3 linked regions of the Saccharomyces cerevisiae S288C genome follow. Changing the gene in region 2 together with the main gene of any one other region gives a genetic interaction. Each region holds a gene or a part of one and is shown on either strand. Other genes may lie near its edges.

Evidence for each region.
Region 1: mutations in VHS1 (region 2) and PEX32 together harm fitness more than expected from each alone (negative genetic interaction), as found in Saccharomyces cerevisiae (3 studies listed by BioGRID).
Region 3: mutations in VHS1 (region 2) and YGL235W together harm fitness more than expected from each alone (negative genetic interaction), as found in Saccharomyces cerevisiae (3 studies listed by BioGRID).

The regions. Positions count from the first base shown.
Region 1 is NC_001134.8:570,217-574,059, reverse strand, and holds PEX32 (Pex32p), read right to left. Parts: upstream 1,690-3,843; coding exon 448-1,689; downstream 1-447. Other genes in the region: adenyl-nucleotide exchange factor SSE2, read left to right, coding at 1-145; ribonuclease P/MRP protein subunit POP7, read left to right, coding at 2,170-2,592; TYR1 (prephenate dehydrogenase (NADP(+))), read left to right, coding at 2,860-3,843.
Region 2 is NC_001136.10:953,854-957,696, reverse strand, and holds VHS1 (putative serine/threonine protein kinase VHS1), read right to left. Parts: upstream 1,685-3,843; coding exon 299-1,684; downstream 1-298. Other genes in the region: YDR246W-A (uncharacterized protein), read right to left, coding at 2,364-2,564; TRAPP subunit TRS23, read right to left, coding at 2,750-3,409; MNN10 (alpha-1,6-mannosyltransferase), read right to left, coding at 3,716-3,843. UniProt on the Saccharomyces cerevisiae protein: Probable serine/threonine protein kinase involved in the G1-S transition.
Region 3 is NC_001139.9:53,534-56,315, reverse strand, and holds YGL235W (uncharacterized protein), read right to left. Parts: upstream 1,038-2,782; coding exon 501-1,037; downstream 1-500. Other genes in the region: tRNA modification protein MTO1, read left to right, coding at 520-2,529.

The sequences.
Region 1 (3,843 bases), on a different chromosome or scaffold from region 2:
GGAAGAAAAAAGACAAGCACTCAGAGCGAATCAAGAAACTTCTAAAATGAATGATATTGCTGAAAAATTGGCTGAGCAAAGAAGGGCACGCGCTGCAAGTGATGATAGCGATGACAACAATGATGAAAACATGGACCTTGATTAATCGGAATTTTTGTCTATTTGGATTGTTCCCTCTTTATTCTTTCTTAAATGAACCACTAGTGCTTCATTATGTGCCCTTTATACATTACCTCTATATTCAATCTTCTATTATAAAAATGATAATTATTTCTACATAAGCCGTTATAAGAATTTAATGAAAATTATGAAATAACATACACAAAGTGCACATGATCTTATAAAGTTTTACTTGTCCTATGTTTCAAAGTATGAGAAAATTCTTCATATCATGATAATGTTAGGCAACCAACTATATATGCAGTTTAGAGGCTTAAAGCAATACTATTACAAATGGAAGAGGCGTCGTTTCCATTTTCTTGACCTGGTAAAACTTTCCAAAGAACTGTATTGTCCAATTTCTTTCCATGCTGAATCTGAATATATCCAATCAGTTCCGTCCCAATTATCATTGATCCAATGCCAATTATTGGGTAATTCTTCTTCACCAAGTCCATCTGGGGGCAAACAACTCCTCATGGTTAAAGTTCCATCAGTGTTTTTAATTTCTATGCAGTAGTTTTGTCTTTCGTACGGCAGTAATTTTGTACTCCAATTTTTATTTTGATACCACCTTCTTTGATTTTCGTATACTTCAATTTCTAGTATTTTAAGGTCTTCATTACCAAAGTTATCTTTTTGCTCATTAAGTAGAAGCTGTAGAATATGAATGTGGTCATCACCCTTCTTGTCCCGAAGTAGTTTAGGCAATACCTCTACCAGTGGCACCGTGATTGCACGTCCTTGAGATAAAGGAATAATTTGTTCCATCTTTAAGTGTTTTGGTAAGAAACTCGAAATTTTAAAACTTTCAATCCCCAAATAATAGAAATTCCTAACAGCAGTAAACCTCCAAAGTAGCCTTAAGGTAGCTTGAAAACTACTCGTATTGTATATCAAGCCGGTAATAATAAAAAATCTAGTATAAGTTCCCGGTGATATGTATCTCATGATAATAATTTGAAAAATTGTACCGAATAAGAATAATCTGCAAAACAACCTCTTGCCAGAACACTCCTTATTGACGCCATCAAATGAAAGCTTTAATTTTTTCCAAACATTCAGCTCGTTTCTCAGTACTTCCAGTTTATCCAACACAGACTCTAGTAGCACGACAATTTCATCCAATGTAGGAGGTTCCGTGTCTCTTAACGAAGCTATCAATGAAACAATATAATACATGAATGATAAGAATAGAAATGCCCCGCTTATAATGCCTAACCATAGTCTCAAAATCTTTGTAAATGGCAGAAAATGGCTAGCCTCTGTTTCAACGGGGATAAAAAAACTTATGGTCAGCCATATGCTCGTTAGATAAATGAATGTTAAACATTTATCGTCGGACAGCCACATTATATTCGCTAAGGCATTGTCGAATATTAGTAGTAGTGGATATGCGTGAAACAGAGTGCTGGAAATCATTGGAGGTGTAATTTGGATAAGAGAGGGCTTTTGCCCATGATTATGTATAAATTTCGCCTTAATTTTTTTATTTTCAGTTTGTACTTTGGTTTTAGAATTTGTGTCCATTTCTTTCCTTGAAATTAGCAAAATGATGTCCACTGAACTAAATTAAGATCAATGAAAGAAAAGAGAAAGTATGAAGTAGTTTCGAGTGATTGCACCTTCTTCATCAATTCTGTTTACCCTTGCAGTTGGTGTTCCAGTAATTCTTGGAAATAAGCATAAAAGGGTATTTGTTTCGGGGATAATTTCTTTACTTCCCCACCAGGCTGTTGAATTGAATATGAAAATGGTATGACAACAATAATGTCTAAAATTCCCAAATCAATTTGGTAAAAATCTGTCCAGCTCAATATGGTTGAATAATCATGAGAAGTACATCAATAGTCTTCTCATGTCATTTCGAAAAAATGTTTTTTCTTCATTTTTTTCCTGCGATTGTTTGACCATTTGTTTAATTTCACTCTCTGTAAAGAGCTACTTAACTATTCAGAAATAAGCAATAAGATTGACGGTCAAAGAAGAAAAGAGAACTCTGCACCCAGGATGGCACTCAAAAAGAATACACACAACAAATCTACCAAACGAGTAACGAAACACCCATCTTTGAAAACTCTAACGCATAAGCAAATACACACAACAATTTTCGTTAAGTCTACAACACCATACGTTAGTGCACTGAAAAGAATAAATAAGTTTCTCGATAGCGTTCATAAGCAAGGATCATCCTATGTTGCGGTTTTGGGTATGGGTAAAGCTGTAGAAAAGACACTGGCATTAGGTTGTCATTTTCAAGATCAGAAGAACAAGAAAATAGAGGTTTACACTAAAACTATAGAAGTTCTTGATGAAGTAATAACTGAAGGCCAAGCTGATATCGACATGGAAAGTGATGTTGAAGATGACGATAAAGAAACCCAACTAAAGAAAAGGGCTGTAAGCGGTGTAGAATTGCGTATTTATGTTTAATATGTCATACTTTTAGCGCTCATTGTTATTGTATACTATTTATAGCTAACAGTTTATTATTAGATTTCCTCTAATAAGCGTTATACCAGTGTAGTAAGTTTATCACTTCAGCTATGTGTCATTTTTTTTTTTTTTTTTTGAGGCCTTATATGAAAATAAGCTTTGAAGAAAGTGATACTGGAATTATTCAAACCAAGAAAAGTTTTTAGAATTACAAGAATACCGTAGCACTTGAAGGAAAGAGGACAGCATATCCACTTGATAAACATGGTATCAGAGGATAAGATTGAGCAATGGAAAGCCACAAAAGTCATTGGTATAATTGGTCTGGGTGATATGGGCCTATTATACGCTAATAAATTTACAGATGCTGGATGGGGTGTTATATGTTGTGATAGGGAAGAATATTATGATGAACTGAAAGAAAAATATGCCTCAGCTAAATTCGAACTGGTGAAAAATGGTCATTTGGTATCCAGGCAAAGCGACTATATTATCTATAGTGTTGAAGCATCCAATATTAGTAAGATCGTCGCAACGTATGGACCATCTTCTAAGGTTGGAACAATTGTTGGGGGTCAAACGAGTTGTAAGCTGCCGGAAATCGAGGCTTTCGAAAAGTATTTACCCAAGGACTGCGACATCATTACCGTGCATTCCCTTCATGGGCCTAAAGTTAATACTGAAGGCCAACCACTAGTTATTATCAATCACAGATCACAGTACCCAGAATCTTTTGAGTTCGTTAATTCTGTTATGGCATGTTTGAAAAGTAAGCAAGTTTATTTGACATATGAAGAGCATGACAAGATTACCGCTGATACACAAGCTGTGACACATGCTGCTTTCTTAAGTATGGGATCTGCGTGGGCAAAGATAAAGATTTATCCTTGGACTCTGGGTGTAAACAAATGGTACGGTGGCCTAGAAAATGTGAAAGTTAATATATCACTAAGAATCTATTCGAACAAGTGGCATGTTTACGCAGGATTAGCCATAACAAACCCAAGTGCACATCAGCAAATTCTTCAATATGCAACCAGTGCAACAGAACTATTTAGTTTAATGATAGATAACAAAGAACAAGAACTTACTGATAGACTATTAAAAGCTAAGCAATTTGTATTTGGAAAGCATACTGGTCTCTTACTATTGGATGACACGATTTTAGAGAAATATTCGCTATCAAAAAGCAGCATTGGTAACAGCAACAATTGCAAGCCAGTGCCGAATTCACATTTATCATTGTTG
Region 2 (3,843 bases):
ACCTGGAAAATTAACAAAGACAGAACAAATGTGAATGAATAATAATAGCAACTTCCAAAAAAAAAAAAGGGGTTACAGGGATCAACAAAAAAAAGCAAGAAAAAAAATGAATAAAGGGAATACCATAAAAACAAATAACATTAAACGGATGAGGGGGTCATAACGGAAGTGTGAATATAACTACAACTTGCTTTGGCAAGTAATATTTTCGGGAAAACAGATGATCATCAAGAGAAGGTCTATCAATTGTGGGCTTAAAACAGATGTGTAGTACACTTTTGTGCCAAAAAGGAGGGGGTTAGTTAGTTAAAGAAGAGGAACTCATGCGAAGTTCGTTGAATTTTTTTTCGAACAAGGAAAATTTGTTGGAAATCTTAGAACATTCGTTATCGGACTCGCAAGAAGTGCTTGTGAACGAAGAATGCAATCCAGTGTCTGTGTCTAGCGTTCCGAAACTGCCACTGCGACTGCCATTATCATCGTCTATCCCTTCTTTGATTCCATCTTCTTCCTCACTTGAAGATGTATAAGATAAATTCTTGGCAGCTTTACTATCGTGCATGTACACGTAGGATTTTGGAGACAAATTCTCATTCGTGTTATCGACGGGGCTAACGAACTTTTCATAAACAGACTTGGAAAGAGGCGGCACTTTTGATAACGGGCCTTCATTGGTGAAGCTTGTAATAGAACTAACTTCTTTCATCAACTCTTGCAAGCTCATTCTATTCTTCGGATTCACTTGTAAAATCTTAGATAATAATGAGTAAAAGTCATCGGAAAGCGGTAGGATTTGCTTTAGTATATTGGGATCCTTAGTGAAATAATAGTAGGTATTATCCTCGGTTTTGTCAGCCTTCAGCCAGGGATTTCTGATGCATGTCAAATTGATAAGGATGATACCTAATGACCACAAATCGCCATTACATGAGGGACAAACCTTACCCAACTTATGTCCCCCACTTTTAGAGCTGGAAACTCTCCCATCAAATGAGATTCTTTCAGGGGGCATATAATACGAGCTACCAATGCAAACATTTGGCTTTATATATGTGGAAGTAGTGGATAGACCAAAATCGCATAGGAAAACGTTATCTTCTGTATCCAGTAGCAAGTTTTCAGGCTTGATGTCACAGTGGTAGATGCCGTGCTCATGGCAATAATTAAGAGCAGAACAGATCTGTAGAAAAACCTTTTTTACTAGCAGTCCATTAGTGACAAAATGTCTGTTATCTACAATAGACGTGAATAGGTCTGTTGGGTAATAATCCATGACAATGAACGTGCAGACTGCAGATTGTAGCACCTCATGTATGGTGACAATGTTCTTATGATGGTGGACTCTTAGGTGTAGCGAAATCTCTTTATAATGGGGCAGCTTTTTAAAATCTTCTTCTGACATATTCTCAATTGATTCTAGATCTATAGAGGGCACCCTGACAACGTTTTTCGATTCCTTGAACAGTTTAGCGAGCTTCTTTTGCAATTTCACGCTATTTTTGTGTATTTTATCATTGCCCATATCAGCCTCCTTGCTAACACCGTAACTTTGAACAACCGCTTTGATAGCGTATTGTCTATCGGTACGAATATCTAAGGCACGGTAAACCAGACCGTACGCGCCTTCGCCAATTTGAGAAGTTATTAAGTAGTTATTAATTCTGCAATTATGGAACATCATCATTACTTTTTTCTTTTTTTTTTTTTTTTCTTTCTCTTATTTTATTTTACTTTAGTATTTCACCTTAGTATATTATCGTACAGTAAATGTTAAGAACTTTTGTAAACGTAACTCATAAAACAAAAAAACAATGGTAGCGCCAACACCAGCAACAAAAAGAGGTAAACAAAAATATAATAGCAGTGACACAAATGTAAAAACGCTGTAAAGCTAATAAATCAAGTCTTTTCTTATAGCACTTGTAAGTATGAATAAATATCAGTGAGTCTTAAGGTGGCAACGGTAAGGGAGGGAGAGAACCAAAGCAGTTTTAAAATTAAAAATAAAAATAAAGGTTTAATAGCACTATAATATGGCACACTAAATTTAATTGAGGTACGTTTTAGGCTCCAGTATAAACAAAAGGGCACCAACGTCAACATGTATAAATAATAATAAATAAATCGGCGAAAACGTTCCAACGTGCGGCCGCTGCTTGGCAAATTAACTGGACGGGGTTAAGTGGCAAGCCGCGCGAATTAGCGGACGCGGACCTAGATACACAAGCGAGGACTGCTAAGTTAGGCCATGTTGGCGGGGGTAGTGGCGGTGGTGGTGGCGGCATCCCTTCCCCACGTTTTGGTCCCTTTAACGTAACTGGTAAAAGTAGGATCGACTACCCCTTTTGGGTTACACTTTGGTATCAGTCATCCATCAGCGGAAAAAATGGACAGCTTTGACTATCCCTATTGTGTACCCGGTTCCGAACTGGTGTTTCCGTACTCACGTGCCGAAAGCTGCGTAATAGTGCATTGGCAGGATATGATGTGATGGATTGTATGGTGTTTCCAGGGCAGGAAGGGAGTAAGAAAAAGGAAGCAAGATGACGATATAGGCGGCGCATTTTCTATCGCTGGTGTTGGGATGCAGAGGATCCGTCGCAGTGTGGTCTTTTTTCGTACGTAGTAGTAAAAGCTATCCCTATTTATGAAGGAGGAGACGGAGAGCGGCAACTTCTTCTTAGTTCTAGAAGTACGTAGTATTTATTTTCTTGGTGTGAATGCGTTTATCTTCCGATGGCGCGTGCGTCTATTGTAGGTTTTCTACCATTTTTTTGACTTTTTCGTCGAACAGGTTAGATCTTATAGGCATTTCCATTGAGTAAGATGGGTCTTTCATGACGTAGTCACTATACAAACAGTAAACCTTCCTTAGGAAGTTGTCGGCTATTTGGATGGCCAAATTGGATGTACTCTTGGGTCGGTCAGGCTTGTCGGTGGTGGCTATAGTTGGCTGTCTCTGGGGCATGACGCTGGAGCTGATAGCGACAAACTTCAGGCCGGTTAGGGTCTGATATATGAACATCGTGAACTGATCCGTGCATAGTTGTCTCAATCCGCTCTTGTTCCAGTTCGTAAATGGTTCTTTGAAAAAATCATCTCCTTTAAAACTGCCCAGTTTTTCATTATTAGTGTGTTTGTTGTTATTGCCACCTCCATTTCTTGTATCGCTCCTATTGCTGGACATGCCCACGTAAGGTATATATGGGATGGTATTTTCGATGTTCGTTTGTTGAGTTAGCTGTAATGCCTTCGGAGTCAGCTGGCTCGCGATGGCGAATACACCGTGCAGTGTACTAGCAAGAATTAAGTATTCATTGCTGTTCAATTTCTGTTCGTCGTTGGTAAAATTCCGCTGATAGATTAGTCCGCCTGATTTGTTTATTACAAGTATTGTTTCGATGGCCATTTCAATTTTTCCCGTTTAAATCCAACACTAAAATTGCACTTTTGAACTTATGCAAAGGCAGATTCCTTTTTTTAGTTTCACTCTTTTTCTTCTCTTCGCACCGCCCAACTCCTGCCGAGGAGGCATAAACTCCAACATATGATGGAAAAATAAAAGAATGTGTAGCATATTATTGAAAGAATCTTCTATAGGCCTAAATGTACATAAATTATAAAACAACATTTTAAAGCAGAACCAGTAGTGGAAATTAAAAAGAAAAATAAAAGCTTGTAAATGCTTCTCTTTACAATATTGATAACTTCCATTTTATGGGAAGAAAAATCTCGTGTACCATTTCCTATTCAGTTTTTCCATTAAAGTGGTGTAGTACTGCATCTCGCCCCAGCAATCTCTGCCAAAATTGCATCCGGCCATATTCACAACAAAATCATGGT
Region 3 (2,782 bases), on a different chromosome or scaffold from region 2:
TTACCAGGACACGAGTCAGTCGGCACTTGTCACTACCGACGGGGCGAGTCAACTGAAAAAAAAAATGAAAAATTTTGAAAAAAAAAAAAAGCTGCTTACTGCCACTATTAGTCACGGTATGAACAACGGCAGTTGAAGATTAGACGATTTCTTAACGCTTAGGTAGTTATTAGAGTATGATATAGTAGATTCAAGTTTATGATATCTGTCTGTCCCTGTGTGGGGTTGTAGTAATGCTGTGGCTTCTTTCTTGTTACTTAGATATGGCGTTGCAGAAGGAACGTACAAAGAGGTGCTTCTTCATCCGGGGGTCTTCTACTTTTGTATGGCTCTTGATCGCCACCGTGTAATCGAGCCCTTGTGGCTTCTCTAAGGTACCTGTGTGCGGCCACTTTCTTTATGGTTGGTAACGTATGGTGGCATCTTTCACAGACGGATAAGTGCGGTTTAATTCTTCACTTAAATCTTGAGGGCATCCAATAGTTTCTGCAGAATACCAGCTAAACGCCCCAAAGAACGATGCTGCGTGTAACAACCTTGGCGTCTTCGTGTACTTCATTTCCCTTACAGGTCCTCAGGAGGCGGTTGACCATATCTTCTTTGACAAGCTTCCAACCCACAACCAAGACACAGGTCGTGGTCATCGGTGCTGGACATGCAGGCTGCGAAGCTGCAGCTGCGTCATCTAGGACTGGTGCGCATACTACTCTCATTACACCATCGTTAACAGATATTGGTAAGTGTTCGTGCAACCCCTCTATTGGTGGAGTGGGTAAGGGCATCCTTGTAAAGGAAATCGACGCTCTCGATGGGCTGATGGGCAAAGTAACTGATCTCGCTGGAGTGCAATTCAAAATGCTGAACAGAAGCAAGGGTCCTGCTGTGTGGGGGCCCAGAGCCCAGATAGACAGAGAGTTATATAAGAAATACATGCAAAGGGAACTTTCCGACAAGAAAGCACACCCCAACTTGTCTCTGCTGCAGAACAAAGTTGCTGACTTGATCTTGTATGACCCCGGATGTGGCCACAAGGTCATCAAAGGTGTGGTTCTGGATGACGGTACCCAGGTTGGGGCAGATCAGGTCATAATCACTACAGGTACGTTTCTCAGTGCAGAAATTCACATCGGCGACAAGCGTATTGCAGCAGGAAGAATTGGCGAGCAGCCAACATATGGGATCAGCAATACTCTACAAAATGAGGTGGGCTTTCAGTTAGGGCGTTTGAAAACAGGCACTCCGGCTAGGCTGGCCAAGGAATCCATTGATTTCAGCGCTCTGGAGGTCCAGAAGGGAGATGCGTTGCCTGTCCCTATGAGTTTTCTGAATGAAACCGTGTCAGTCGAACCCACGAAGCAACTGGATTGCTTTGGCACACATACCACACCTCAAATGCACGACTTTTTGCGCAATAACTTGCATCAATCCATTCATATTCAGGACACGACCATCAAAGGCCCCCGCTATTGTCCCTCCATCGAAGCTAAGATTCTAAGGTTTCCTGATAGATCTTCCCATAAGATATGGTTGGAACCAGAAGGTTTCAACTCCGACGTCATTTATCCGAACGGGATATCCAATTCTATGCCTGAGGATGTCCAGTTACAAATGATGAGGCTCATCCCGGGCATGGCAAACGTTGAGATCTTGCAGCCGGCATACGGCGTGGAATACGACTACGTAGACCCACGGCAATTAAAGCCTAGCTTGGAAACAAAATTGGTGGATGGACTATTCTTGGCCGGACAAATAAATGGTACTACAGGCTACGAGGAAGCCGCTGCACAGGGGATCATTGCAGGTATCAATGCAGGATTACTATCGCGCCAAGAACGGGAGCAATTGGTCTTGAAAAGGTCCGAAGCGTACATTGGTGTGCTCATTGACGATCTAATCAATAATGGCGTCATAGAACCATATAGAATGTTTACTTCCAGATCAGAATTCAGAATCAGCGTAAGAGCCGATAACGCAGACTTCAGACTGACGCCCATTGGTGCTCAACTAGGGATTATATCTCCTGTCCGTTTAAGTCAATATTCAAGAGACAAGCACCTATATGATGAAACAATACGGGCGCTTCAAAATTTCAAGCTAAGCTCTCAAAAATGGTCTAGCTTACTACAGGCTAATATCGCGCCACAGGCTGAAAACAGATCTGCTTGGGAAATATTCAGATTCAAAGATATGGATCTACATAAACTCTACGAGTGCATTCCCGATTTACCCATTAATTTGCTGGACATCCCAATGCATGTTGTCACCAAAATTAACATTCAAGGTAAATACGAACCTTACATTGTCAAACAGAACCAGTTTGTGAAGGCATTTCAGGCAGACGAAAATATGCTGTTGCCGCAAGATTACGATTACCGTCAGTTACCCACGCTTTCCACTGAATGCAAACTACTCTTGAACCGCGTACAGCCATTGACCATAGGCCAAGCAAGACGGATTCAAGGTATCACTGCGGCAGCCCTATTTGAACTCTACCGTGTGGCACGGAAGCCAAGCCAACCAGTCATGTAAATATCCTTTAATCGTTAGCTTGTATATGTAAATAATTCATTGTATGTAACCATCAAATTCGTTATTTAGCAATCTTACCCGGAAAACTTCTTGTATCGTAACATTAATTCTCCCTTACAAGGGGACCTCGATGAATAAATAAAGTGTTTGTGTTGAAGGTACTTGCAAAAGGGCAACTCACTGTCGTTTATAATTTGATTTACTAATCGCATCTGTATTTGGAAAAGCATTTCTTTTTGGAAGAGGAACAAGA